7 linked regions of the Oryzias latipes genome follow. The protein of the gene in region 4 binds, or shares a complex with, the protein of the main gene of each other region. Links are inferred from orthologs where the notes say so. Each region holds a gene or a part of one and is shown on either strand. Other genes may lie near its edges.

What was found.
Region 1: pfdn6 (region 4) and pdrg1 share a complex: the UniProt entries of both Homo sapiens proteins name them as parts of the PAQosome complex. The link is inferred for Oryzias latipes from reciprocal best matches to the Homo sapiens genes PFDN6 and PDRG1.
Region 2: pfdn6 (region 4) and ASNSD1 upstream open reading frame protein share a complex: the UniProt entries of both Homo sapiens proteins name them as parts of the PAQosome complex. The link is inferred for Oryzias latipes from reciprocal best matches to the Homo sapiens genes PFDN6 and ASDURF.
Region 3: pfdn6 (region 4) and polr2e share a complex: the UniProt entries of both Homo sapiens proteins name them as parts of the PAQosome complex. The link is inferred for Oryzias latipes from reciprocal best matches to the Homo sapiens genes PFDN6 and POLR2E.
Region 5: pfdn6 (region 4) and ruvbl1 share a complex: the UniProt entries of both Homo sapiens proteins name them as parts of the PAQosome complex. The link is inferred for Oryzias latipes from reciprocal best matches to the Homo sapiens genes PFDN6 and RUVBL1.
Region 6: pfdn6 (region 4) and wdr92 share a complex: the UniProt entries of both Homo sapiens proteins name them as parts of the PAQosome complex. The link is inferred for Oryzias latipes from reciprocal best matches to the Homo sapiens genes PFDN6 and DNAAF10.
Region 7: pfdn6 (region 4) and uxt share a complex: the UniProt entries of both Homo sapiens proteins name them as parts of the PAQosome complex. The link is inferred for Oryzias latipes from reciprocal best matches to the Homo sapiens genes PFDN6 and UXT.

The regions. Positions count from the first base shown.
Region 1 is NC_019863.2:18,202,525-18,206,721, forward strand, and holds the start of pdrg1 (p53 and DNA damage-regulated protein 1), read right to left. Parts: upstream 2,801-4,197; 5' UTR 2,757-2,800; coding exon 2,673-2,756; intron 1,922-2,672; coding exon 1,846-1,921; intron 1,704-1,845; coding exon 1,629-1,703; intron 1,550-1,628; coding exon 1,469-1,549; intron 1,394-1,468; coding exon of another isoform or gene 1,368-1,393; exon of another isoform or gene 1,327-1,367; intron 494-1,326; coding exon 411-493; 3' UTR 1-410. UniProt on the Homo sapiens protein: May play a role in chaperone-mediated protein folding.
Region 2 is NC_019879.2:16,672,538-16,675,459, forward strand, and holds ASNSD1 upstream open reading frame protein, read left to right. Parts: upstream 1-1,131; 5' UTR 1,132-1,210; coding exon 1,211-1,291; intron 1,292-1,581; coding exon 1,582-1,635; intron 1,636-1,731; coding exon 1,732-1,807; intron 1,808-1,921; coding exon 1,922-1,962; 3' UTR 1,963-1,972; downstream 1,973-2,922. Other genes in the region: asnsd1 (asparagine synthetase domain-containing protein 1), read left to right, coding at 1,973-2,922.
Region 3 is NC_019862.2:26,974,829-26,978,790, forward strand, and holds the start of polr2e (DNA-directed RNA polymerases I, II, and III subunit RPABC1), read left to right. Parts: upstream 1-1,162; 5' UTR 1,163-1,279; coding exon 1,280-1,336; intron 1,337-3,073; coding exon 3,074-3,248; intron 3,249-3,962. UniProt on the Homo sapiens protein: DNA-dependent RNA polymerase catalyzes the transcription of DNA into RNA using the four ribonucleoside triphosphates as substrates.
Region 4 is NC_019868.2:26,685,025-26,689,051, reverse strand, and holds the start of pfdn6 (prefoldin subunit 6), read right to left. Parts: upstream 2,801-4,027; 5' UTR 2,666-2,800; coding exon 2,602-2,665; intron 2,446-2,601; coding exon 2,375-2,445; intron 2,287-2,374; coding exon 2,162-2,286; intron 1-2,161. UniProt on the Homo sapiens protein: Binds specifically to cytosolic chaperonin (c-CPN) and transfers target proteins to it. Binds to nascent polypeptide chain and promotes folding in an environment in which there are many competing pathways for nonnative proteins.
Region 5 is NC_019863.2:3,775,525-3,779,473, reverse strand, and holds the start of ruvbl1 (ruvB-like 1), read right to left. Parts: upstream 2,801-3,949; coding exon 2,660-2,800; intron 568-2,659; coding exon 481-567; intron 393-480; coding exon 260-392; intron 1-259. Other genes in the region: eefsec (selenocysteine-specific elongation factor), read left to right, coding at 3,482-3,785. UniProt on the Homo sapiens protein: Possesses single-stranded DNA-stimulated ATPase and ATP-dependent DNA helicase (3' to 5') activity; hexamerization is thought to be critical for ATP hydrolysis and adjacent subunits in the ring-like structure contribute to the ATPase activity.
Region 6 is NC_019873.2:11,204,578-11,208,519, reverse strand, and holds the start of wdr92 (WD repeat-containing protein 92), read right to left. Parts: upstream 2,801-3,942; 5' UTR 2,661-2,800; coding exon 2,475-2,660; intron 2,318-2,474; coding exon 2,217-2,317; intron 2,134-2,216; coding exon 2,003-2,133; intron 1,932-2,002; coding exon 1,830-1,931; intron 1,217-1,829; coding exon 1,101-1,216; intron 1,001-1,100; coding exon 866-1,000; intron 1-865. UniProt on the Homo sapiens protein: Key assembly factor specifically required for the stability of axonemal dynein heavy chains in cytoplasm.
Region 7 is NC_019865.2:33,765,944-33,769,932, forward strand, and holds the start of uxt (protein UXT), read right to left. Parts: upstream 2,801-3,989; 5' UTR 2,678-2,800; coding exon 2,580-2,677; intron 1-2,579. Other genes in the region: cdk20 (cyclin-dependent kinase 20), read left to right, coding at 3,465-3,545, 3,628-3,741. UniProt on the Homo sapiens protein: Involved in gene transcription regulation. Acts in concert with the corepressor URI1 to regulate androgen receptor AR-mediated transcription. Together with URI1, associates with chromatin to the NKX3-1 promoter region.

The sequences.
Region 1 (4,197 bases), on a different chromosome or scaffold from region 4:
TTTACACAAAAACTTCAGAGTCAGAGGAACATGGACATCCAAACATCTCCTTTAAAGAGAGTTTGGAAAGTGGACTTTGACCAGTCAGTACAGCCATCTTTAACTACTACAATTCTAGAAGATGTTTAATATAGATTCTGCTGCTGTCTACTAAAGGAAACAACTTTAAAACTGTAAATATAATAGATATGAACTTTATTAAAACAGTCCAGGAACCGGGTGCAAAAAAGGACATGTTTGTCATCTTTTGAACCTGCAGAAGTGTCCTGCACGAATCCCCGACAGTCCAACCGTCCAGCCAAGGTGCCTTTAATAAGCATGTTTAAATGATGTTTAAATGTGGCGCTGGAACTCAGGCCTGCAGCTTTGGCGCTTCATTCTCTCAGAAGTGACTCGAAACAGCCGGAGAATCAGGTCTTCAGGAGGCTGTTGATAGATTTGATCTCCTCAGAGGACAGTGCAGACAGTCTGTAGCCTCTGAGCTCCGGTTTACCTACAGAAATGAAGGGAATAGTTTTAGCTATTCAATAATAAAAGTTTAATTGATGAAACTTACTTTGACTTCTGAATGTTTGAATGAAGCGTCAGGGCATCTTTTCCACTAGTTGCTGTTGTTATGAGACAGTTTTACCCCTCCTGGTGCAAACATTTTACGGTACTTTATTTTAATTTGTTTGTATTTTACTAAAGAAAATGATAGCTCTAGAGACGCACTAATGATTAAAAAAAATGTTTGTAGTGACCTGGACACAGAGTAAAGGCTCCTGAACTGAGTGTCTAGAAGAGTGCATGTGCAGATCAGATCAGTCTGTAGGTGTGAGCAGGTGGAAAACATCTGTAGACTAACATTTCGCCTGCTTTTGAGTGTGCTGCCCCCTTGTGGCATTGGAACCTTACAGCAGCTCAGTCAGAGAAAATGCAAAGAAATCTGTAAACAAAGATATATTATGAGGTCTGCTGTTGTCTTGGTGTTTCCACTCTTAGCTTGCAGTATTTATTTGTGTCACCTTAGGACTCCGCAGTTACGCAACTGGCTTCAACCGGAACGACCGACAAGTACGTTGTGTAACTGAACTCTACAGAAACAGTGCAAAGCCCCAAATGAACGCTGTTAATTAATTTGTCTTGATATTTCACATTTTCACAAATGTCAGTTTAACATTTTGGAATTAGGAACCTATTTTAGCTTATTAACTTTTCTTGAGTTTTGTGAGTTTTCAACTTGTCAAAAGTAACATCCTCTGTTCCAAATGGCTACCAGTGTTTTACAGCACTTCTTTTCTTCCCAAAACCCCTTTATGTTCATCCAAAAGAGAAATGCAACACCTCTTCTCCTTCCAACAGGAGGGCAGGACCAGAGGGAGGAATCACGTTTCCCCTTCTGCTACACAGCCTGTAAAGCGTTTTATTAAAATTGTCAGCTTTAATTTTTCCTTTTTTGTTTTCTTATTTTGAAAGAGTTGCATACCTTGAATCTCATTGAGATGATTGAATTTAGTTTTCAGTTCTCTGCGAAGGTTATTTATTTCTTTATCCAGCTGTTCTTGGTCTGCAGCACAAAAGAAATACATTTTTATTTTTATGAATAAACACATAAAGCATGGAAGTGTGTTTTCTTTAAGGATTACCTTTCTGGACCATCCCTTTAGTTTTGGATTTGTCAAACTCAATAAACATGTTTCCAAAGCAAACCTTCACATTCTCTGCAAACAAAAACAAGAACATTAAGGCTGGAAAAGGCTGGGTTTGTTATTTAACAGCAGCACTTCTGACATATTTCATAAATGCAGCGATCAGGTTTTCCTTTCTTGCCTCTAAACATGACGGGACCCGGTCCTGCCTCACCTGAATCAGACAGCTCATGTTTGAGAGCGTTCAGCGCCTCCCTGTTCCGGTTTCTCTTCAAGTCCAGGTCCACTATCTGAAGAAAAGAAAAAAAAAAGAAAGACACATGAATTCATATTTACCTAATTTAGTATCCAATTTTTGGTTATTAAATGAAGAAAATGGGTCAAAGTAAGACCCTGGCTGGTGACAGCCAAAAAGAATATAAAGTGAACTAAACTAACAAAGACAGAGTGTCCATTTATGTCACAGATATTATGATCAAAATTTATAGTAGATTTTATGTTAAAAGAGAAATTGTCCGTGTTTGCTGCACTAGCTGCTAAAATATCCACTTGTAGTTTATAGAAAATTTCATTTGCAAATAAATTTCTTATAAAATCTTTAAAATGTCAAATAGAGCCAGATTGAAAGCAGAACTTTTGAATTTCTGTCTTTCTTCAAGAGTGGTATCAAGCTAATCTTTATCTAATTTCTTTTCAACTTTATTACGTTTAAGTAGAGGAAAACACTTCTTTTTTTGTTTACATCTCTGTGAGTGGAATTTCCCCAAACAGATCATCAATACAAAAAATATTTTGTTGGACACGCCATCTAATTCATAGTATAACATGACATAAAATATTATTTTAGGATATTTTTTACTCAATTTTGTGAACAGAAATTTCGATCCATCATGATCATCATCCAGGCAGCCCAACTTGAACTTCAGTATCACTTGTTTTTAAGCTAGTGAAGCGGTTCGGTGACCTCTTTGCTAGCTGAAGCTATCTATGTTAAACATGACTTTTGAAAAAAGAAACGATTTGCGGTTCGTCACAACATACCTGCTGTTTGGTTGTGATAACCTCCTCGGCTGCTTCTTCCACTTCTGTCAGGTAGTCCAGCACACGCTGCGAACCCGCATCCATGTTGGCGGTGTCGCATCTAAATATGTTCTACGAGAAACACAAGAGAAGGCGGAACGCTTCATCTTCTGCATTTTCTTGGCGGTAGGCAAACAGCTTGCTGGTCGTTACCGCCGCCAACTGGAGTGGAGTGTAAACCGGGATCTTTTCTTAACTTTCACGTTCTTACTTACATTCGAGTGGAATCTTCTCAAAAAATGAATTCAATCTTAATTTGCAAAAATTTCATAAATAAAAAAAAGCGCACATCGACCATTGCCTAAATTTACAGATACCTCAAACTTCATGTTCAACATTTCAAGGTTGTTTAAATTTGGATTTTTTTTTTTTAGTTTAAAAAAAATGTATTCATGTTTTAAAAACGTTCGAGTCTTACGTCTCAATCTAGTTATTGCTCTTTTCCTATCCTATGTTGTCCCGCTCTCATCATTTTCCCCTCTATTATTCCTTTGTTCCTTCTCCCAGTGTCTTCGTCATATTTCTTTCTCTCTTTGATTATGTTTTTATCTCTGCTTTGCTAAGACTGATCTTTAACTCAAAATCCTTTATTGGAAACTATTCAAGCACATTTAGTGGCTATTTCATCATCTTGTTTCTCTATATGAGCTGAACCCAGAAAATATCACAATGACCCGCATTGTTTTTAGTAACCCCCAATGTTTGCTGGAAATATCTGGTCTACTTTCTTATTTACAGTTTTTAATATTTGCTAATGATGAACTTAAGTCTGAACCATCTGAACATATAAGATTTCCCATTGGCCTATGACAAGCAGAATATTTCTGATGCCCATACAAACATTTGATTTCACTGCTTTTTTGGAAACTGAGGAGGCGAAATGAATAAACAGCTGTGTTTTATGCTGCGTATAGTATAAATGTTATCCAAATGTACATGAAAAGAGAGTTTACATTTTTTTGTCTCAGTATTTGCCCAAAGTAAAATTAAGTGGCTAAACCTGGACCACTGGTTCATTCATCTGTTTGCTTTATTGGGTGTGTTTGTATTTTTTTAAGTGTTAAACAAAATTTATTCTGATCATGTATTTAAAATTTAGACTTAAGCGGATGGGGGACACTGAAACATTAGACAACACATTAGATTTAAAAATATCTCAATCTCTGTAAATAAAATTCAGATTTTTTTCACATCTTCAGGTCAAAAACCTGAGAAAGATCCGTGCAGAAAGACAAATATAAAACCCAGGGTTGGGAAGCATTACTGCCTTCTGCTTGTAAATGTAGCTGTTATTTATTTTGACAAACCACAAGCTTCATAATCAAGTTATTAGGACATGAAAACAAACATTTTAAAAGATTTGTTGTTTAATTAAAAACATACAGGCTTGTCCATATTCCTTGACATGTAGCAGTTATGTAAACATACTGAAGGATTTTTCCCCTGAAACAGCTTCAAAACAATCATAAAATGCACATTTACAGAT
Region 2 (2,922 bases), on a different chromosome or scaffold from region 4:
CACAGTTTTGACTCAAACTGAAGAGTAAAAAAAACAAAACAACTATGAGGTATGCAAAAGCTATTTAAATGCTGAGAGACTTCAAAAGAAAAAAGGCAAAGACAAGGTTGAAATAAGCTGCAGAGTTCAGCAGGTATTTCAACATTCATTTTTTTTTGGTTGTGTGATCTTTGAGCAGGGAGGTGGGGGTTAGGTTGAAACTGCTTTTAAAGGGGGTTAAGCATCTGTTCGTCTACAGACAGATCAAGTCAACAAAAAGCTTTAGTCCCCGAAAAAATGCACTTGCATGTGTTATTTTTAATTTGATGATTCAACATCAGCAGATGAAAGCATGTCATATTATAACTAAAATATAAAAAAGCTAAATTATCTTAAGACAAGGCAGGTTGGTTTGTCTTCAGCCACTACTTTAGTTTAGTTTTACAAGTAAACAATGAAAAAATACTTTTTTAACTAGAGATACTGTTCCAGCCTAGCAACAATTGGCTGGAGGTGTATTTCCCCCCAAAAGCAATATTTTAAGAAGTGTTTCTGGGGTTAAAGTAAAGGGTAGGGTTAACAAAGGTGCAGCTTTCAGAGGCTCTGATGTCAGAAAAAAAAGGAAAAGAAAAAAAGGAACAAGACACAGACAGTTAATTGGGTGTTTTTAAAGACTACTTAATAGCTTCAGGTGGTTTTGAAAACTGATCAAAAATGATCAACATATCAGATGTGCAATGGATTCATTATTTAATTTATGCTTAATTGATTTTATTTAATCAGTGTTTCTTTTTGTTGCTTTTTTCTTATATGGAAGTGTCACTTTAAATGAAAATTAAAACCGGGTAGAAACAGAAAAGTCTAACTTCTTCTGTCTCGAACTTGCTTAGCTGATTAAATTTTAACCCAATTCCGTTTAAAAAACTTTTTTGTAGTAGCCCAATACTATTTTTTTAGTCTTAAGAAAGTAAATTACATCAAATCTGTTATTTAAAGACATTCTTATTCAATCTGTGTTTACCCCTTGGTTACCTATAATTTGGCAGGCCCCGGACCCTGAGATGTGTAGCGGGTGTTTTACAAATCTGGCCTCTAGGCGGCAGTGTGCTTCGAACTCCCCACCTATTTCTTCACCCGGAACGGTTATGACGCATATCCGGACATGTTTGTCGCAGAAGTAGACGCTGTTAAGAGAAAAATTAGATAAAAAGTTTTCCCTCGTGGCTCCTTTATGAAAATGTCTTCAAAAAAATACAATAACAGCGATAATTCCCAAGAGCAAACCACATATAAAGAGGAACTCAGTAAAAAGGTAACTTTATATCAAAGACGCGCTACTGTTAGCTGGCTAAACAACACGGATATGTTTATTCACCTTTTTCAGCATGTATAGTAGAACGGAAAAACGAATAGCAATACTTTTGTTAGTATTTACGCACCAATAGTATGTATTTACTGTTTTAATAAGTTTCGATTTTCTCATGTTTGCTGGAAAAATGAAGGACTGCTGATCTTTAAATTAAAACTTAACATGATGGGATACATCTCCTGATGGCTTCATCATCATAGGGTTGTTAACGTTAACTTGTTGCTAATTTCCAGATCAAAGAGCAAAAGGTCGTTGTGGATGAACTCTCTAACCTAAAGAAGAACAGGGTACGGTAATTACCTTTTTACATCCATCCATCCATAAATCCATCCATCCGTCGTAATAAATTCATTTTTTATTGATTTTTTTTTTCTTTTCTTCAGAAAGTTTACATCCAACAGAGAAACAGCAACATTTTCTTCCTGGCTGACAGAAGTCAAACATTGTCTACAAGCAGAAGTATGTGTTAGTATTCATTTATCCTCTTGCATTGAAATTTTTACAATGTTGTACCATACTACAATATAACTCACCTTTTTTTTTTTAAAACTTTTTTTATTTTTATTCTTGCAGAGGAACTGGATTACTTGAAAAAAGAACTGCAGGATATTTAGAGCTGCAACAATGTGTGGAATCTTTTTCCAGTTGACTTTGTCAGCTGCTCAATTTGAGAAGGACAAAAGAATTTATGAATTTCTGAAGAGAAGGGGCCCCAACTCTAGCAGGGAGCTATCGTTTCCTGCTGTAGATTTGAGCTATCACTGCTCATTTTCTGCCCATGTTCTCCATATGAGAGGCCTCCTTACTCTTCAGCCGTTTCAAGACGACGCTGGAAATGTCTTGATGTGGAATGGAGAGGTTTTTGGAGGGATTTCTGTGATGCCAGAAGAGAATGACACCACTGTCATCTGTCAGAAATTGTCATCTTGTAAAAACTCTTTGGAGGTTCTGGCACTTCTGTCTGCCATTCAAGGGCCTTGGGCATTTGTTTTCTATCAAAAGGCTGAAGATTATCTCTGGTTTGGGAGAGACCTTTTTGGAAGGCGCAGCTTGCTGTGGAAATATGACGCCGAGATCAGTGTCTTCACTTTGACCTCAGTGGCAGCTGGGATTTCTGCGCTGGGTCAGTCTGATTGGAAAGAAGTCCCAGCTGTTGGCGTGTTTAAGGTTGATGTAAAGGCAGCTGCACAGAGTGGTTCTGTGTCCTTTGAGCTTTTTCCCTGGGCAAGAAATGTCATAAACCCATCATTGAGTGAAATGATGGTTAACTCTGTCCCTAGTGGGTGCAATTTTGAGATAAATCGAGCAGGTTTATCAATCACTTCACCTGTTTGTCCTTTGAATATGTCCATTCCAGAAAAAAAGGTTGAAGTTAATCCCAGTTCACAGGTGTCTGGAGGAAATCTAGAGGAGTTTCTAATCAGCAAGGAGAAAACTGAAGTTGTGAACCGTCTAATTGGTGTCCTGAGTGAGGCGGTGAGGCGACGAGTTCATTCGTTGCCTTTTGTGGCAAAAGATAATTTACCTCTTAGCAGTGGCCAGGCTAGCATTGCTATACTCTTTTCAGGAGGCAT
Region 3 (3,962 bases), on a different chromosome or scaffold from region 4:
CCAGTGAACAGACGGAGTGAAGGATGCTGGCGCTGCTCCAGCGTTTGTGACTATAGTCTGTTCTGTTCCGGACTGTTCGGAACCATCCAGAACTCGCTGGCTAACAAATATAAGAGGTTTATGAGCTTATGGAGAAATCTCCTTACGAGGTGTTAAGCAGAACGATGACAAAAACACAACAATAACAGGAGACATGCCTACGTATGCATAGACATGTAATAATACATGTACTCCAATGGAAACGCATGCACTGTGCTAGGCTATGCAATCAGGTTATAGAGAAGAAATACTTTACCGTGGTGGACAAAACAAAGTACAGTACCATCGCCAGCAGTGCTCCGCTGCTCGCTATAGCCCCAACTGTCAACATAACAATTAATGGCCTCATTTTTGACAGCGACTTAAATAAAAATAATAATAAAAAGGCCCCAGTTATCGGAAAAAATCTATTTTGTTCATTGTAAGCGCACGTGACTCATTTCCACCCAGTGTTGTGAAACTCAAGTGGGTGGAGTCAAATGCTTGACAAGACAAGGAGGAAATGACGTATGAGGTTTTTCAAAACAAAAATAAAAATAAAATATAGGTCAAAACGTTCAAAAAAAGGGGGGGGGGTAGGAGATAGAGGTGCACGATATGAGGAAACTCGCGTTCTGCGATATCAATGATCAATATTGCGATGACGATATAACTAGCGATACATGAACAAATAGCAAAACAGCCAAAAGACAGTTTCTATTTCACTGCAACAGTTTAATTTAAAGAAGAGTCAAGATGACGTACTTAAATTATACTCAATGACCCTCGTCTACATTCTAAGATTTTATCTATTTTTATAGATAAAATGTGTCATAATTAAAACATAGAAGGTGATATATTTATTTATTATTAGCAAAATATACTAAGCTTTTTTAAAACCTAAATTCAGTCAGTAAAAAATAAATTTAGAAAGAGATTTTTAATTCTGAAGCAAATTTTTATTTTAATTTATTTTTTTTACCATAAGTAAATTGTCTTCAGATTTACATTTCCAATTAGCCGAAGTTAAAAAAAAATACCGAATAATTAAGAACATTTTATGAAGACTTAATAAATTCGCTCTGAAGATAATAACCTGGAGGACTTTTCTTTAAGAACAGTTTTTTTAAACGTCAACTCGATCAAACGCAATGCATTGTGGTATATAATATTGGCCAAGCCAGGAACCATCGATGCCATCGGATTTTTAGAAGAATATTAGTGATTTAAAAATACGAAAAGGAGAATAAATTGAGAAAGGATGGACGATGAAGAGGAAACTTACCGGCTGTGGAAGATCCGTAAAACAATAATGCAGGTGGATTAAATAAAAGGATATACTAGCTTAGCAGCGAACTAGCTGTTAGCTTCACATGTGGCTCGCGTTAAAGAGTCGCTTTTGACTGCCATTGTTAAAGTTGTAACTAAATCTTTTACGTTTTGTGTGTTAATCTCTTATTCTCAGTGCAAGTCGTTCCAATTACGCGCTCAGACTTTTTTTTTTAATTATTATGTGTAGGAATGATGCATTCGTTAGCCTCGTTTGAACGAAGGCTAACTTTAGCACACCCATGATGACCCATTAAAAAAAGCCAACATGTTTTCGTACATGTAGACTACATGTATGACAACATGAATGCTTCAAATCATTAAATACACTTTCACAAAGTTTGCTGCTAAACTGCTTTTAGATTTTTGTTTCTGTGATGTACTGAAATATAGTTATCAGCTCTTTATTACGTTTAGGCTTTTTTTAATCGACAATAATTATATGACATTTATGCAGAGAGTCAGGTTTTGCAGTGTTGGACTTCCTTTGTCAGCACCCCTGCAATTCGACTGGGCATGCTGTCAATCAACTTTAGGGCCAAATCCTGACCGATAGCAACCCAGATTGATTAAGATCTGGGGAGTTTCCAGGCCGTGGACCCAAAATGTCAACATTTTGGTCCCCGATCCACTTAGTTATCACTTTTGCCTCATGGCACGGTGCGCCATCGTGCTGGAAAATACATTGTTTGACGCCAAACTGTTGTTGGATTGCTGGAAGAAGTTGCTGTTGGAGGGAGTTTTGGCACCATTCTTTATTCATGGCTGTGGTTTTGGAGAAAAATGCGAATGAGCCCACTTCCTTGGATGAGAAGCAACCCCACACATCAAGGGTCTCAGGATGCTTTACTGTTGGCACGACACGGGACAGGTGGTAGCTCTCACCTTTTCTTCTCCGGACAAGCCTTTGTCCAGATGCCCCAAACAATCGGATAGAGGCTTCATGGGAGAATAGGACTTTGCCCCAGTCCCCAGCAGTCCACTCGCCATACTTTTTGCAGAAGATCAATCTGTCCCTGATGTTTGTTTTTGGGGTGGATAAGTGGCCATCTTCTAAAAGTCTCCGCCTCACTGTGCATGCAAATGCGCTCACACCAGCCTGTTGCCATTCCTGAGCAAACTCTGCACTGGTGGCGCTCCGATCCCACAGTTAAAACCCATTAGGAGACGATTCTTGGCACTTGCTGGACTTTCTTGGACGCTCTGAAACCTTGTTAACAAGAATTGAACCTCTTTCCTTGAAGTTTTTGATGATCCTATAAATTGTTGATTTAGGTGCAATCTTAGCTGCCACAATATCCTCGCCTGTGAAGCCATTCTTATGCAACGCGATGATGGCTGCACACGTTTCTTTGCCGGTCAGCATGGTTAACAGTGGCAGAACAATGATTTCAAGCATCACCCTCCTTTTAACATGTCAAGTCTGCCATTCTAACCCAACCGGCCTGACATCATGATCTCCAGTCTTGTGCTCGTCAACATTCTCAACTGAGTTAAAAAGACGATGACTGAAATGATTTTTGGGGGGGGGATTCATTTAATTTTCATGGCAAAGAAGGACTACGCAATTCATCTGATGACTCTTTGTAACATTTTGGAGAACATGCAAATTGCTATTATAAAATCCTAGGCAGCAACTTTTGCAATTTCCAATATTTATGTAATTCTCAAAACCTTTGGCCAACACTATACATATTAAAATGTTGTTTGTTTTTTTTAACCACAGCTCTGCCACGATCGAGGCTATCTGGTAACACAAGATGAGTTGGACCAGACCCTGGAGGAGTTCAAGAGTCAATTCGGAGACAAACCCAGCGAGGGTCGTCCCAGACGGACGGACCTTACAGTCTTGGTCGCACACAACGATGATCCCACTGATCAAATGTTTGTTTTCTTTCCTGGTAGGTTTATACTTGAGAATAATTTGGGAACTCATCCTTTTATCCATAAAATAACCAAAAGTTTAAGTTACACTCCAATCATATTTCGATTTATTTTTAAAGGAGTCCCCAGTGGTATTATATTTATGAATGCTCTGTTTTTAGCCAAATTCATAAAAACCTGTGTGGGCATCACTGTTGGCACGGACGTAAGCCCCTGCTGATATCCCATCATCCCTTTTTTGTTTACACACTCTCCCATTAGATTACATTGACTTTATTAGAGAATTGAGCCATGGTGACGTCGCCTTTCTTCCGGCTCCAGAGAAATGAAGCCAATAGACCCTTTTCATGGTGACGTCAGACAAAACAGAGACATGGGCGCCATTGTGTCACCGTACTTCTGGTTTTAGACGAGCAAAGCTGACAACTGAACGCTGTTTAACACCATTCTATGAGAAGAATACACACTAACCTTACCAATCGCAACGGCACTTTTTACATGATTTATTTTATAAATGTCATATCCAACTGTAGTCAATTTCCTCTTTTAAATCTTTCACAAGTCAAAATACAAATTTAAGTAATCCATCAATATTTAAGGTTCAGTTGAAAATATCAACCTTTCATTTGAGTCTAACAGGTTATATTTTTTTACAGTTTCCTATTCTTTTTATCATTTTTCTTTTTCGCAGATCAGACACAGTTATTGGCAATAGCAAAGAGGTTCAGTGT
Region 4 (4,027 bases):
CTGAAGTAACCAAAGCACGTGACCAGTATTATAAAGAGAAGTCTAAGAAAAAATACAATTTTAAAGACAGAAAAAACGCTCAATAATAATCTCCAACAGGATGAATGAGCTGCTGTAAAAACAAAAGACTTGTTTTTACAACACAGTACAGAATATCAAAGCTAATTCTTGTTTTAACTGAAGAAAGAATTACCTATAGAAAATAACAGGCAAAATACTTGTACAACATAGATATGTAAATAAATAAACAAGAACCTAAAATAGTGTGACACAATCCTCCTTTTGATTAATGCTAAAGTCATTTTTGACAGATTTAAGATACAAACTGCTTTACGATTTCAGTGTCCGACGTTAAAAGATGAAATACAAATGACACTAGGGCTGCACGATATGAGGAAAACTCGCGATATGCGATATTGGTGATTAATATTGCGATAACGATATAATTTGCGGTATATAAACAAATGTCAAACCAACCAAAAACATAATTTCCATTTCAATGCAACAGTATAAAAATCATACTCCAAATGACCCTTGTCGACGTAGGAGGCAAACATCAAACATAAAAGGGCTCATTTGATTGATCAACAGCGTAAACGGGTCCTTCCGATTGGTTAAATGCATAAAGGGATTTATTTCATTTGTTCAATATTTCAAGCTGCCATGAGTTTGTTTTAGCACACTTAACCCTTGTGCTATCTTAGATGACCCCCCCCTTACATTGACGTGTTCTCCCTACCATGACAAAGGTGGACAAAGGTGGAAAGATTTCATGTAATCCATGGACACCAGTGAAGATCACAAATTATTGAAGAAAAATTGTTCAGTGCACTGTCTAGTGGGTCTAGATGACCCAACTCCCAATGTTAAAGTGCCTAGGATAGCACAAGGGTTAAGGTAACCATTTATTGCGATTTTCGCCGTCTTTTGCGGTATGCATATTGCACAGCTTGATGTCGCGATAACGATAAATTTGCGGTATATTGTGCAGGCCTAAATGACATAATGAGACGATAAAAGCTAATAAATAGGTTAATGTCAGAATATTTATTCACAATTACTATTCATTTGTTTAAAATAAATGATAGTTTGTATTAATTGAACAAACAATTTAACAACTACAAACATAATGATATGAAATATAATATTATGGGGAAAAAACCTGTCCAAAAGTATCTCAGATGCATGGACAGCAAATATAAAACTATTTTAACTTTAAGAACATGTAAATATTATATGACATAATTAATTTAAGGCCCCAAACGGACAGCTGTGGGATCCCATTTATTTCTTTTTTGAAGGTACAACCAGCCAAGGTCAACTTTTATTTCTGCACAACCCTTTTTTCATCAGCCACTTTTCATCTTCCATTAATTTAAAAGAAACTATGAGTACAGTCTTTATTATATATTAATGTAAAAAAAAACACAAGCATATCTGTGACATGCATCTGTTTTCCCCAGCATAAAGTGTGTCACAGTAATGAAAAAAAGAAATATTTCTATTGAATGAAGCAACATAATACCTGATATAATCACTTAGCAACACTGTTAATTTAATTTTAAAGCAAAAGCTGTATTCATTTTTTTAATATATTATTTTATTTCCCCCAAAATTTGACTAATTACTCATCTGGGGCACATTGGACCCCATTTATAATGTAAAGATATAAGATAGTTTTCTGTCTGCTAAAATGTCTATATGTTTAAATACTACAATTATGGGTTTCAGGTCAAAAATTAAGCCTTCACCTTTCAACTGTCAGTCTTAGGATATAAGATTGTATCAGTAGAAATTGAATATTAAAAGGTTCAAGGTATGGCGTAAATTTAAGGCAAATTATGTGATTCTATATTCTATAAAGACAGCTTAAATCAGGTGTTCTCGTCGTGCATTTTGTTTCTCTATTTATTCAAGGTAGAACTCAGAATTTGTGGTCAAAATTTTACCATGGCGACGAAATATGTTCAAGTCTATCCTGAATTTTCAGAACTACCCATAAAAACTAGATTTCCAGCTTCTGTGGCTGATATTTCATTACAAATAAATGACTATAAACGTCTCTGCTTATAGTAAGTGCTATATATTATAAACTAAAGCTTGAAAATATCATTTTAACTAGGGCATCCCATACATTTTCTTTTGTATTTCTTTTCCTTACATTTCTCCATTGATGTACTCCAGTCTTTTTGTGACCGTGGCCTTGGCTTCATCCAAGTCTTGCTTCACTAAAACTGGACCGATAAGCTTGTAAATGGTGTTAGAACTGTCCAGCAGATCGAGCTCCTGGAAATATACAGGTCACATCTTCAGTCAAACTGAACATAAAGATATCTAATGGACAAAAACATGTTGTTAAGGGTTAGGCGTGTACCTCTTTGACTATGTTGTTTTCTGTCAGCTGCGTCTCCAGTTTCTGCCTGACGGACATACTTTTACTCACATCTGAAAAAAAAACAGACATTTGTAAGTTGTATTTCTTTTAATACGTCAAATCTCAAAGTTACTTTAAATATTTGAAACATGGGTGCAGGCATGGCTAACTAACTGCTGCCCGATGGTAACAACATCATGGCACACTAGCAGCTAACAGGTACCTACCTTTCTGCACCTGCGAATATTTTTCTAATTCCGCTTTTAATTTCTTTTGAATTGCATCTGCCATGTTTTATGACTTGTTTGTAATAACCGTGTAAACGTTAAATAAATGTATCTAGAGGTTTCAGAGCTAACAACACAGAATGGGAGAACTGCGCTAGCTAACCGGAAGGAGCGACGGATTTAGCGGAAGTTGTGAAAGATTCACTGCCATCCAGAAAATCGGAGTTTCCGCAGTCGTACAAGAGAAGAGTTTTATCAAATATTTTCTATTTCTGTCCAATGTATATCATATTAGATGAAGAAATTGCATGAAATTTGAAAAATATCTTATTTGATTAGGATTTTTTTGACTTAGTAGTTATACACACAAGTTATTACATTATTCTCATAGTCGAACAATAGAAGATAATAGATATTTTAAACTTTGAATTGCACACATAACATTTAAAAATAAAATTAATTGCTGCCACATCTCATTCAAAAAGGTATGGATAAATCTTGGTCCACCAGCTCTGATCAGTCTAAGGGGATCTCCAACATGGAAAGAGTTGATGTCCTCTCTGTATTAAATCATAATAAATCATGTAAGGGGCTAATACCTGGCATCAAGCCACTGACCTTCAAAAATCACAAGAGAAATGAAAATTGGTTTTAAAAAAAAAGTGAGACGGCAGTTGCCCAATAAAGTGGTGGACACTCAGGGACTGTGACCCTAAAACTGGGAGAAAGATTTAAGATCAACTTTATTAATCCACTTTCAAGATCAACTTTATTAATCCACGAAGGGAAATTTGAGAAAAGCGATTCTTCAACAATAGTTTTGCCTTGGTTTGCTTTACATCAATAAACAATAGAACCTTGGAAGGTTTAGTAAGTCAGATAAGTAAGTTGAGGAATAAATGTTTGTATGGACCCTTTGTGTGCGTGTGTGTGTGTTTGTTTGAACAACTTGTTCACCTCTCGGCAGATCCCGTCATTTGTCACCACAGTGGTATTTTGATTGGAAATAAATTGTAGTATTTGTAGTATCATTGTTTTAATGAAAAATCTAAAATGCAAAAGTGGTAAGTAGTAGTAGTAGTAGTTGCTGTAATGGTAGTACATTTGTATGGGTTTTTTTTTTTATTAAAAATCTAAAATACATAGCAGTTGCAGAACTAGCATCATTATTATTTGAACAAAAACCTAAAATAAACAGTAAGCCTGTGGTAGTAGTAGTAGTAGTAGTAGTAGTAGTAGTAGTAGTAGTAGTAGTAGTAGTGGTCATGGAAGTAGTATCGTTTTGATGATTCAAAATCTAAAATACTTAGTAGTCGTATCATCATGTTTTGAACGAATTTCTAAAATACACAACGAACGCTGTTACTGATGGGAAGATTTTGGTTTTAATTATGCAATGAAAAAAAATTAGACAACCACACATCAC
Region 5 (3,949 bases), on a different chromosome or scaffold from region 4:
TCGGACGTCGGTTTCCCAAAAATGTTGAATAAAAGACCAGGTTGTCACACGGACAACCATCGTGTTCATTTGGGGTTGTCCTCCGGGAAATCTGGTTGTCTCTGACAACAGGATAACTGCTTATTTCAAACGCTGCAAAGTTGTGAAAAAACGTTTTTTCTCTGCTTTAACAAACCCTATGTCTTCATGGATATAATTCCAAAACTATCTGGCTTGGTTGCCATGGTTCCTGTTGGATAAATGGATCGATTACACTCACCAATTGCCCTCCTGAAATTCTCCATCAATACTTCTGTTTTCTTTATCTCAGACGAGTAGACCTCACTGCCCACCATGGGGCAAAACGGAACCTTGTTCCCCAGCTCCTGAGCGATGGCCAAAGCCAGGGCCGTCTAAAGGCAGAAGACACACGGCGTCACAGTAAGAGTCTGCATGAAGGACGAGCGTTAGAGTCCGCCGGCATCTTCACTGATGCTTTACCTTTCCTGTTCCAGGGGGTCCTGCCAGTAAAATGGCCCTTCCTGCCATCTTTTTGGCCTGGATCAGCTCAACAATAATGCCACAAGCCTAAAGGGTAGAGAAACCAAAGAGAAATACAACATTTAAAGTAGGGCTGCACGATATGAGGAAAACTTGCGATATGCGATATTAGTGATCAATATTGCGATAACGATAAATTTGCGGTAAATAAACAAATAGAAAAATAAACAAAAACATCATTCCCATTTCATTGCAACAGTTTAAAAATTATACTCCAAATGACCCTCATCGACATGGGGGACAAACGTCAGGGTGGCTAACCCTGGTCCTCAAGAGCCTCAACCCTGTCTGTTTTCCAGTTCTCCCTAGACTGCTCGATAATGATAACCAAAATCAGGTGTGTTCAGTCAATCAGGATGTGAAATCACTTGAGTCAGCCAATCAACAGCAAGCTGGTTAAGGAGAGCTGGAAAACAGGCAGGGTTGAGGCTCTTCAGGACCAGGGTTAACATAATAGGCCTCCATCTGATTGGTCAACAATGGGAAGGCGTCCATCTGATTGGTCAAAGCATAAAGGGATTTATTTGATTCGTTAAATGCTTCAAGCTGCTAGAAGATTGTTTTAACACATTTTGGGCTTGCGATTTATTGCGATATTCGCCGTCTTTTGCGATATGCATATTGCAGAGCTGGATATTGCGATAACGATAAATTTGCGGTATATTGTGCAGGCCTAGTTTAAAGTATAACAATGAGGAAAAAGGAAAACTGTCTTTATAACTACGATGTTGAGTAAGACTAATAAACAGAAACGTGAAAGTTGCAGGTCGATTTGTTCTTTTGTGTGCCACAGGATGTATTATCAGATACATTGATATTGTTTTGGTGATATACATTTTTGCAGGACTCAAACTGAGATTTATAAATGTCATTTCAACGTCGTATCAAATCAAATCAAACTTTATTAGTGTAGCACTTTTCCCTCTAGAGCCCCTCAAAGTGCTTTACACAAAAACATGTTCAAATTTTAAAAATTTAAAGCAAGACGTTACATTAATATTCGGTAGAAATCCCATATAATGTCGTCGTCGCCCCCCCCTCCCCACCGCCCACTCAAGTTCACAGAATATGCTACCACAGGACCCCCCCCCCCCTAAAAAAGGCTTAAGAATACCATGATACTGGCCCTTTAAAACCAGCACAGACAATCTTGTTTGGGTAGGTAAAAACACAAACGGAAATTATTATTATTATCGTTTATTTTTTTAACTTTGCCAGTGCAGTGTTGATTTTAATTTTCCTTATAATAGGATGATTCTTAGGTAAGAATTCAAAACAGTGTTTAAGTGCAATCGGTCAGTTGAAACCTCCGACGCATGTAAAAACATATTTTAACATCCACCCAATACTGCTTTTAGAATGGAATGAAATTAAAAACTGAAGTAATACATCATGAAATTAAGTTGAAAATCCTGTTATGAACTTCTTCATCAAATAAAAATAAAATAAAACGTGTTTTAGAGGCGATTATCCTGCCTTGTTCCACTTTAGAGTCTAGAAAATACACTGCGATCTATATAATGTATTAGAGTTTTCTTTGCATTTTTAATTATTTAGCAGCCATAATGTAACAATAGCAAACAAAAAACACAAAAAAAATAATATGATGACTGTTTATTATGGTTCCAACAATTTTCCATTATAAAGAAATAACTGTCAGTGCTGTTAGTTCCATCCAATAAATAAAATTAAATAATCTACAGATCACATTTGACTTTATGACGGTTTTGATGTAGATTCTTTGTCGACTTACAAATGTGTAATAAGAAATATACCTTAGTTTGAGTTTCACATTTCGTTTTTCTTTCCCAATAAAATAAAAATTGTACCTGTATGATGGAAATATAATCAAGAGATTTCAATTCATTTTTTTAAATTTAATTTAAGAAATATATTAAATGAAATAAAAAAAATAAATCGCTACTTTGGAAACTGTGTGTTAATTTAACTAAGGAGGAGTCTCGCAGGTTATCTGAGAAGAAAACTACGCAGCTGTGCTAACTCAGTTAGCATCAGGGGTTAGCAATTTGCTACCGTGTTCTCATAGGAACTTATGTGCAAGTAATGTCTGAAGGAAAATAAAATACAATTGAAACAGAAAAAAGATGATTAACATCACCTCTCTGGCAGCCTCCTGTCCGACCAGTCCGCATGCTGTCTGTTTAGCATTGCCGGCCTCGTCTAGCCCGAGTCCCTTGACGTGACTGTGTGAAGCTATTCGCTGGGTCTTTGTGGTGCTTTTTACCTCCTCGATTTTCATATTTGCAAGTGTTACAGGAGCACTGGCTATAATACTGTCCAAGCCGCAAAGTAAAGTTTAAAAAATGTCACCTAAGTGTCTGCGTTTCTCTGACCACTACATGAGGCGCCAAAAGTCAAAACACGGTTTCCATGTGGGTTACCAGGGGAAAAAAGCAGGAATCGACACCCCTGAGGTACCGCCCATTTTAACTAGTCTGAAAACCATTGGTTTTCCTCATGATAAGAGCATTTCTGATTAGTCAATGTTCTGTCAATCAAAGTTGAAACCACACCCCTGTTTCCTCCTGTGCTTCGTTTTATTTTGTTGTAATAGAAACACACAAAAAAGGCCTCAGTATAAAAAACACTAATTGATCGATAATTTAAAATATTTATTTTATACATAGAAATATATTTCTGTGTTATATTTTTTTATTAAATTGTAATATTTAAATATCACATTTTTCTTATTTTGGTTTGTTCCCCGCATATAAACGTTCCGGTTCGTCTTGTAATCGGGGACGAAATAAAGTGTAAGCACCATAAACTCTGCAGTTTTTTAGGGACACTTTAGGCACCGAAAATGACTTGTTGATTTGACCAACTAACGCAGTGAACGTTATTTTTTTTCCAAATAACTATCAACGCGGTGCTCAGGTTTCAAGGTAGGAAAACGTTCGTGCTCGGAAACTTCGAGAGGATGTCCGAGTCTCATGACAGCCGCACGAAAACGTTAAATTTCAACGTGGGGGTCCTCGGACATGTCGACAGCGGGAAGACGTCGCTGGCCAGAGCGCTGAGCAGCACCGCCTCCACGGCTGCTTTCGACAAGAACCCACAGTCCCGGGAGAGAGGCATCACGTTAGACCTCGGCTTCTCCTCCTTCACGGTGGATTGTCCGGATCACCTGCGGGACGGCGGGGGCCTGAAGCCGTACGACAGTCTGCAGTTTACCCTGGTGGACTGTCCAGGCCACGCCTCTCTGATCCGAACAATTATCGGAGGTAACGTAAACCTGTGGAAGATCATGGATGGACTGAGCATCATGAAGGGTCAGGGGCTCAAGGTCCAACATTCCCAAGCCCTCCGAGGCATTCAGACAGTATGCAATGGTGGCAAAGGCTGTTCTGTTATATGATTGATTGATTGATTGATTGATTGATTGATT
Region 6 (3,942 bases), on a different chromosome or scaffold from region 4:
AATGTAGCCTCATGTTTAGTGCCAAAATATGTGATGAAAAGGCCGACAAACAGCTAAAAGTTTAAGTATTTGAAGACATTACAAACTTCTTTTACATCAGTATTTACAAAGAATGTGCTGAAAAGGCGATACATAAAAAAAACACAAATAAATAAATAAATAAAATGCTGAAAATACTACAGATGCTAAATCCTAACGTCAGTAAAGAGGCTAGTTTTAGCTAAAGAATGTTGAAAATGCAAACGGTGTGTTGAAATTATTTTAATTAATAAAATTATCTAATAAATTTTAAAGTGTTAGCTTAATTAGGAGCCTCAGTCGTATATATATATATATATATATATATATATATATATATATATATATATATATATATATATATATATATATATATATTATCATCATATATATAATCATCATGTATATGGACATACGTTACTCTGAAAGGCTTAAGAAAAGAATGATTCAGGCCCTTGAGGCACTTAAATAATAAAACAAAAGCCAAAACAAACTGAAAAGTTACATTTCACTACATATGTGAAAGCAATGAAATAATGAAATAAAAATAAGAGATAGAAATGAGAAATAGTGTTGGTTATGCTCAAATTGTTCTGAACATTGAACGTTTGAATTTGTGAATTTAATGTTCACCTTCATTAGAAAAAAAACATTTGATCAGTTGATCTTCCAGCTGAGCAAAAAACAAATGTTTGCAGCTCCTTTGTGAGCAGACTGGCTCCTGCTTCAAGACATTTGCAGCAAAACAGTTCTGTTTGCTTTGACTGCTGTTGTTTTTAGAGGGATGCTGTCTCTTTCTGGAAATGCTAAAATGGTGCACCTGACTGAGTCCCCAAAGGTTTGTTACCTTTTCAGAAACAGAGGCAAAGCCTTTGGTGTGGTGCTGCGTCCTCATGTCAAACACGTGGAACCGGCCCTCCAGAGACGTGGCCACCAGCTTGTTCATGTTGATATCTTTCCTGTCAAACTCCACGCAGCAAACCTGAACGTAACGCAGGAAAAAGGAATCCCAGTGAGAACCCACACAGAATCACAGCATCATTTATGATCACGCACATAAACGAGTAATGTCCTCAGCCCACCCCGTTCTTGATGTTGGTTTCCCATCGCAGAGACATGTTCCTCAGGTCAAACAGCTTGACGTCTCCGTTGTCGTAGCCGGCACAAACGCATCGGTCCTCTTGGTTGAAGGCGTGACCTGAAATCGTTTTAAGAAAGCCGGTTATGAGGCCAAACGAATAAAAAACAGGCTTTCACAAATTTATGAAGGATTTCAAAAAGTTCTGTACTGTTGTACACAATTATAGAATGTTATAGAACTTTATTTTACTAAAATAAACAGCAGGATGAAGATAAATCATATTTAAGCCAGAACTGTGGCATAATTCACAGTGTCAAAGGCTTTATGGTGTCAAACAATCACAACCCAATGACGATTTTGATTCGTAAGGAACAAATGTGTCTATATTTTCTGCTATGCTGTGTCTGATTACATTTTTGGTGCCTGTGGACAAATTTGGTTCCACCCTTCTCTGCAGAATTGCTTTATTCAATCACATTTTTGAGGATTTTCAGGAAAAATGTTCGTTTATTTAAATTAACCGGAACAAATTTGAACGTTTTGACACTTCAGAACCCTTACGGTGATCCATATGACTTTAGTGATACCTCAGCATGCTGTAGCATCAAACTGAACTTCACCTTTACCATCTTTTGTGGTGTCAAACAGGGACTTTCCTGTCCTCTGAATAGGTAGCATTATATCCTTATGGTTTAGAAGTGAAAACTTTTATTTTGAAAATTCTGCTCACCGAATGCAACAGTCCAGCAGTCCCTCCTGGTTTCCCCTTCAAGTGGTTCCATGTTGGCCACAGGCCAGTCTCTCTGTCTGGGATCCCACACCTTTACTGTTCCTGTGAAAACCCAACAGAACCTCAGATCCACTCTTGCTGTTCTAACTGTGTCTTGCCTCTATGGCCTTCACCATCTCTGCTGCCGGTCACTATCTCAGGAGCGCCTTCTCCGATTCCCAGACCTCCGACTCCGTCTATACTGTTGACTATTTCCTTATGGGCCTTCACAGAGTACACAGGCACATCAGCAGCCTCTAGATTCCTGTCCATGACAAATCTGTTCAGAAATCACCTCAGAAAAACACAACACATGGATTTTTGCAGGAGAAAATGCAGACAAAATACCAGATATTTAGATTTCCATCAAAATCCCCGGTTGCTATGTGTCTGGTCTGCAGGGAAGATGCCCCAAACGTGCCACACTTTATAGGTTTGGGTTTCTCGAGCTGAAAAACATCACAGGTTCTTATATTCTTAGCACTCAATCTGTGTTTGCTGGGTTAGGGTTGCCATGGCTACAAGCGAGAAAACCTTCTCTGGACAGCTCAGAGCAGCTCGTTGAGGTTAAAGGTGAAAGATTTCAACATGAAGACATCAGTGCACCTCTTTAACAAGCTGTACTTCTCCGTGCTGCAGCTCGTGGATCTGGATCACCCCGGTTCCTCTCGGAAAGTTGCCCAAACAAACAAACTTGGCGCTGCAGGGGATCCACTTACAGTCGAACACAGTGAAGTTTAGACCCGTGTGAGCATGCGCGATGATCTGAGGCTTTGACAGCGAAGACGACATATTCACCGAAGCAGAAAACTACGATTTAAGCGAATAAACCAAAGCAAACATCGAACATCAAATAGAACTTTGCGCTACAGAAAATCTACCAAAATATCAACGTTAGGTCCTGACTTTATAGGTGCCCACAAATATGCCTGATTTTCTCCCGATATTTAAAAATAAATACATTAAATTATTCTTAAAGCACATACATAAATATTTTTTTTACAGTTATTTGGATTTAAAAAGCGGGATGGTGATTAAATTACATTTAAATTGTACTTTTTGATACACCTGGTAATAACATTTTGTTTCGAGCGTCGACGACGCCACCCTTGGGGTCCTTTTCAGTGCACGAGGGCAATCTCGTGCGTCCCCCCGTTCAGTCCACACCACCCTTTTAAGGACTTTATTAAACTTTTAAAGACTGTATTTTGCCATGGACGCCAGTGAAAGCGGAGCTACGGCGCCGGAGAAGCACGATGACGGGGAATCGTTTACGAAAGTGAAGTCAAAGAAGAGCCAGAAGAGAAAACTGGAGCCAGACGGAGGCACGACCATGGAGGTCGAACAGCCAAATAAACGCCCGCATTTTCCACCCATCTCAGCTGACAAACTACGGGTATTTACAATGTGTTTTCATTTCTGCCTCTGCGATTTCACGGGTAAACCACAAACGCGAAACCGACTTAAAAACGCTTGTTTTGCCAAAGCGCTGTTCCTTTAAATATTGAGATGCTTTGCGCATGTGCACAAGTAGTGAAGCAAGGATGGGCGATACCAAATAACGTATTTGTTGTTTTTCAAGTTTTTCTTTACCGATATTAATATATTCTTGCACCAAATTACAAAAATATTCGTATGTTTTGCTCTTTTCTATATAGAAAATATTCTGTACAAGATTTACTTTACACGAATTTAAAGTTAGAAGACATAAGTACATAAATAAATGTTAATACTTTTGGATGTATGTCACGTTTGTGAGCAATACTTTTCCCATGAGTCAAGTAGTTTATATTTAGTGTAATTTAAGAATGTCTCTGTCCGTTTTTAATAAATTATAACGGGAACTGTCAAGTGTATCTGACATTTGATGCGGCCCAATAAAACATTCCTGCAGTGTCTCCTTATGGACAGCGGGTGGCGCACGTGGGGCCTCTTTGATTTCTTCACACTGTTTAGCACTTTTAAAAGTGCCAAGATGTAATGTCTTTTACCACTTCAACTTTTTTTTTTTACCTAAGGGCCTATGATGACTGAACTTGGTATTGACGTCTGATTGGTTCCTGGGATCACGTGA
Region 7 (3,989 bases), on a different chromosome or scaffold from region 4:
TGATGCAACGACATGCAGATTGTTGAATTCACTTGCACAGCAATTCAAATGAAAGGCCAGAAAGAAAGTAACAATTCTCTTGCAATTTTCCAAATAAGTCCGGCAAGCGCTGGACTTTTTTCAGTACCGTCCCAGTGTAGGTACCATAACAGTTCGGCCTGCAACAACCGTTCAGGGTCCTTCGACTAGTGCTGACGTCACATTATGTGATGACTGTCTGTTGGTCCAATGACGTGTCAGGTAGTGATTGGTCTGGACAAATGACAATACTACCATAGAAGAAGATATTATACGGTCCGTTGTAAACAAACAGAGCTCCGACACAGAGCGACATTATCTTCTAAACGTGCTTTTAATATTATGATTATTATTAGGTGCATTGCAGATGAATGGACTGCGTTCAGAACCCTTCTCCAGACCGCACACTATGACAAAGCAGCTTCCCTGCCTGTAAACACGAAGCTACGAGACTCCAGCTGCTCTGCTCAGAGACAGGGTTCACTCTGTGGAGCAGCAGGTTCATTCTAGCAGCCACAGATCTTTACAAAGGGGGTTGTGGCAAAATCTCTATAAACACTACAAAGAATAATGTCAGACACAACTTAAGAGGGAAAAGAACTTTATGTTATAAAAGGAAACGTGAAATGAGAATATGTAGAGCCCGAGCAGATCTCCACGCTACGTAGTTTGTCCAAGTGGGGCTACCGTAATGTGACATCATCCTCAGTCGAAAGGACCCCAAACGGTTATTGCAGGCTGAATGGTTATGCTACCTACACCAGCTGCTGTTGAACAAAGGCGGCTAAAGCCTGGACAGTCTGTCCCAGGGCCCATGGAGCTGGAGCGGTTGATCTCACTATGCGGCTCCCAGGAGGCGAGCTGGGGGCCAGACAGAGACCTGCTGCAGGATGGGGAGCCAGCCTGCTCTGACCTCCTGAACTTTAGGTTTTCTTTCAGGTCTCTCTATATATAACATATATATAATCTCATCATCCTCTCCCTCATGGTGCAGAGACCTAAGCATAGTAGGACAAATAACTGGGCAAAACACAATAAAAACAGCTAAACAACTAAACACATTTGGTCAAAAAGCCACACTTAAACCCAAATCCGTCCAGACAGGCAAAGGGAATGCTATCCCACAATCCCTTGCGGTGCCGATCTAACAGCAGCACCAAAGTTACACCTACTCAATTGAATTAATTTGAATGAAAGTAAAATAACTGTCTGACAACTATGTGTTATTTTTAAGTTGACTGAACTGAAAAAAATTATTTATCTTAACTGAAGCAAATAATGAAGTTAGATCAAAGTAAAAAAGTTTATCTTTCCAACATCCATATGTGGTCTTATCACCCTCTCATGGTGTAAAAAGTATTATCTGAGCTTCTTCATCCACTAAATCATCTTCAAATGGACACGCCATGCTGCTTCACCTCTCTGTAAACAAACTAACCTTCAACTAAACCTGCTCCAGACCAGGTTATGTTCAGAGCATGAGTTGCTATGGCAACTTGACATAACCTGAAACATACCTCTATTTCTGGAACTGAAAGCTGAGGTTATCAACTTCCTTAGCCTCAAACGTACCGAGGGAGCTAGCATAACCTGCTTTCTTTTTTTTTTTTTTTAATAAACTTTATTGAAGATATACAAGATACTCATTCAAGTAAATTTTAAGTACACAGATAAAAAAAAAGAGTAACAAAATGTGCCAGGGGAACAAAAGAACAAAGGAGAAGAAAGAAGAAAAAAAAAATTATAAACAAGAGCAGAAAAAGCAGTAAGTTGCTATTCTGTACATTTAAAAAAATTCCAGGGTGTCAAAGGTTCTTATAGCTTTGGGGTTGGAAGAATGTTTTATTGCTTTGATATATTGGTTCAACTCAATCATAAAAAGTTTGAATAAGGGCTTTTTTTCAGAAAATTTGCATTTATGTATGTGGAATTTGGCTAGTATTATCAAAAGGTTAATTAAATAGTATTCCCTTCTTAGTGAATTATTAACACTATAAAAACCAAATAATATATCCTTGTATACCAAATCAAATTTTTCATAAATTTAACATCGAACAAAGGAGGTAAGGTCTTTCCAAAAAATTGCTGTTGGGGGGCATTTCCAGAAAAGATGTATAATTGTTTCAGTGTCTAATTTACAAAAGGAGCAATTTTTATCAATGTCTATGTGTAATGAGGATTTGGCTGGGTAGCATCTGTGAAGAAGTTTAAAACAAACATCCCGGGGTTTATTTGAAATAAAATATTTAGAGGACAAAGTCCAAACTTTCTTCCATTCAATATCTGGGGCAATTTTTCTCCAATAGTGGGTGCATAACCTGCTTTCTGGAATACTCCCCTGGGCCTTTGTGACGTCACAACACCGCATTAGTTCAAACAGAGCGTCTTTGAGACAGTTTGATTGACAGCGGTTTAAAAGGAGAAACACTCAGAAATGCAAAAATGAAACCATGTCTAATTCCATTTGTTGTATTTCATAAGACAAATACCACAATGTCACAAAACATGATTTTCATCAGAGGGGGACTTTCAGAACCGGAGCAGAACCCAGAGGGGCTTACCGCAGGTCTCTCCTCAGAACTTCCTCGATGAATCTTTCATACTGAAGGACCTTCTCTTCCATCCTCGAGTCAGAACCGGCGTCTGTGGGCGGAGTCATCGGGGATGGGGGGCTAATGCGGGGGCTCTGCGGGCCGGTTCAGCTCAGACACTTGTAAAGAAGTTCACAGCCCCACATGCAGTCATCTAAACAAGATTCTGAACCGGAAGTACTCCGACAAGATACTTCCAGGTTTCAGCGTAGAAGAGGAGCAGAAAAAAGAACATTTAATTTCTTTTTATGTTTAAAGCACTTTGTGCAAACAGTTGTTATTTGGTCATTTTCACTTACATTTATTCTTCCATATTCTACCAGATATATAGAACGTGGCAATTATTCATAAACTAATTCCCGGGTTAAACCTTATGTGAATATGAATTTTAAAATATATATGTTTTTGTTTAATGGCTGGTTGTGCTAATTTTATTTATTCTTCTTCGTTGTTTTATTTTCGTTGATTTGGATTGTCCTGTGATGACGTCACTGTCAACAAACATGGCGGAGAGCTGCGTTGACTATAGTTGAAACGTTTTCAAAATATCTCGTCAAGTGCCAAAGGACAGCGCACATTTGGTGTCGCGTACATGTCATCAGCTTTACGCATCAAGTAAATATCCAGCACTATACTAAATATTCAACGATATACTAAAGTTTCGTAGTTTTATTTATCAGATGTGACCGAGGCAACATCAGCGCCCACTTCCGGTCTCGTTCCGTTCAAAATGTCGTGCTTATTTTGGTTGGACGCGCCGGAGCCCCGCTCTTAAAACCCGTGGACTAAAAACCGTTAAGTAAAGGAACAAGTCCAAGTCCATAAAGATCCCCGCTGCAGCTGCAGGGGTCCTGGATGATCATGGAGCAGTACAGCATCCTAGGCCGGATTGGAGAAGGGGCTCACGGAATCGTGTTTAAGGCCAAGCACGTGCAGGTGAAACATGTTCATGGAGCAGAAAAAACAGACACCTGAACAGGTGATCATTCAGGCTGATGGATGAACGTGTTTCTGACAGACCGGGGAAACTGTGGCTCTAAAGAAGGTGGCTCTGAGGAAGCTGGAGGACGGCATTCCCAATCAGGCTCTGAGGGAGATCAAGGCTCTGCAGGAGATTGAGGACAACCAGCACGTGAGTGTGTACAGTCGTGGTCAAAGGTTTGGAGAATGACGTAAATATTGTTGGAAATTGGAAAATAATTGCTGCTTAAATACATATAATAGCATTTTGCATATACTCCATAATGTTATGATGATCAGATGAATTGCATAGTCCTTCTTTGCCATAAAAATGAACTTAATCCCCCAAAACTCTTTCCACGGCATTTCATTGGTGTCATTAAAGAACCAGCTGAGATCATTTCATTCATCGTCTTGTTA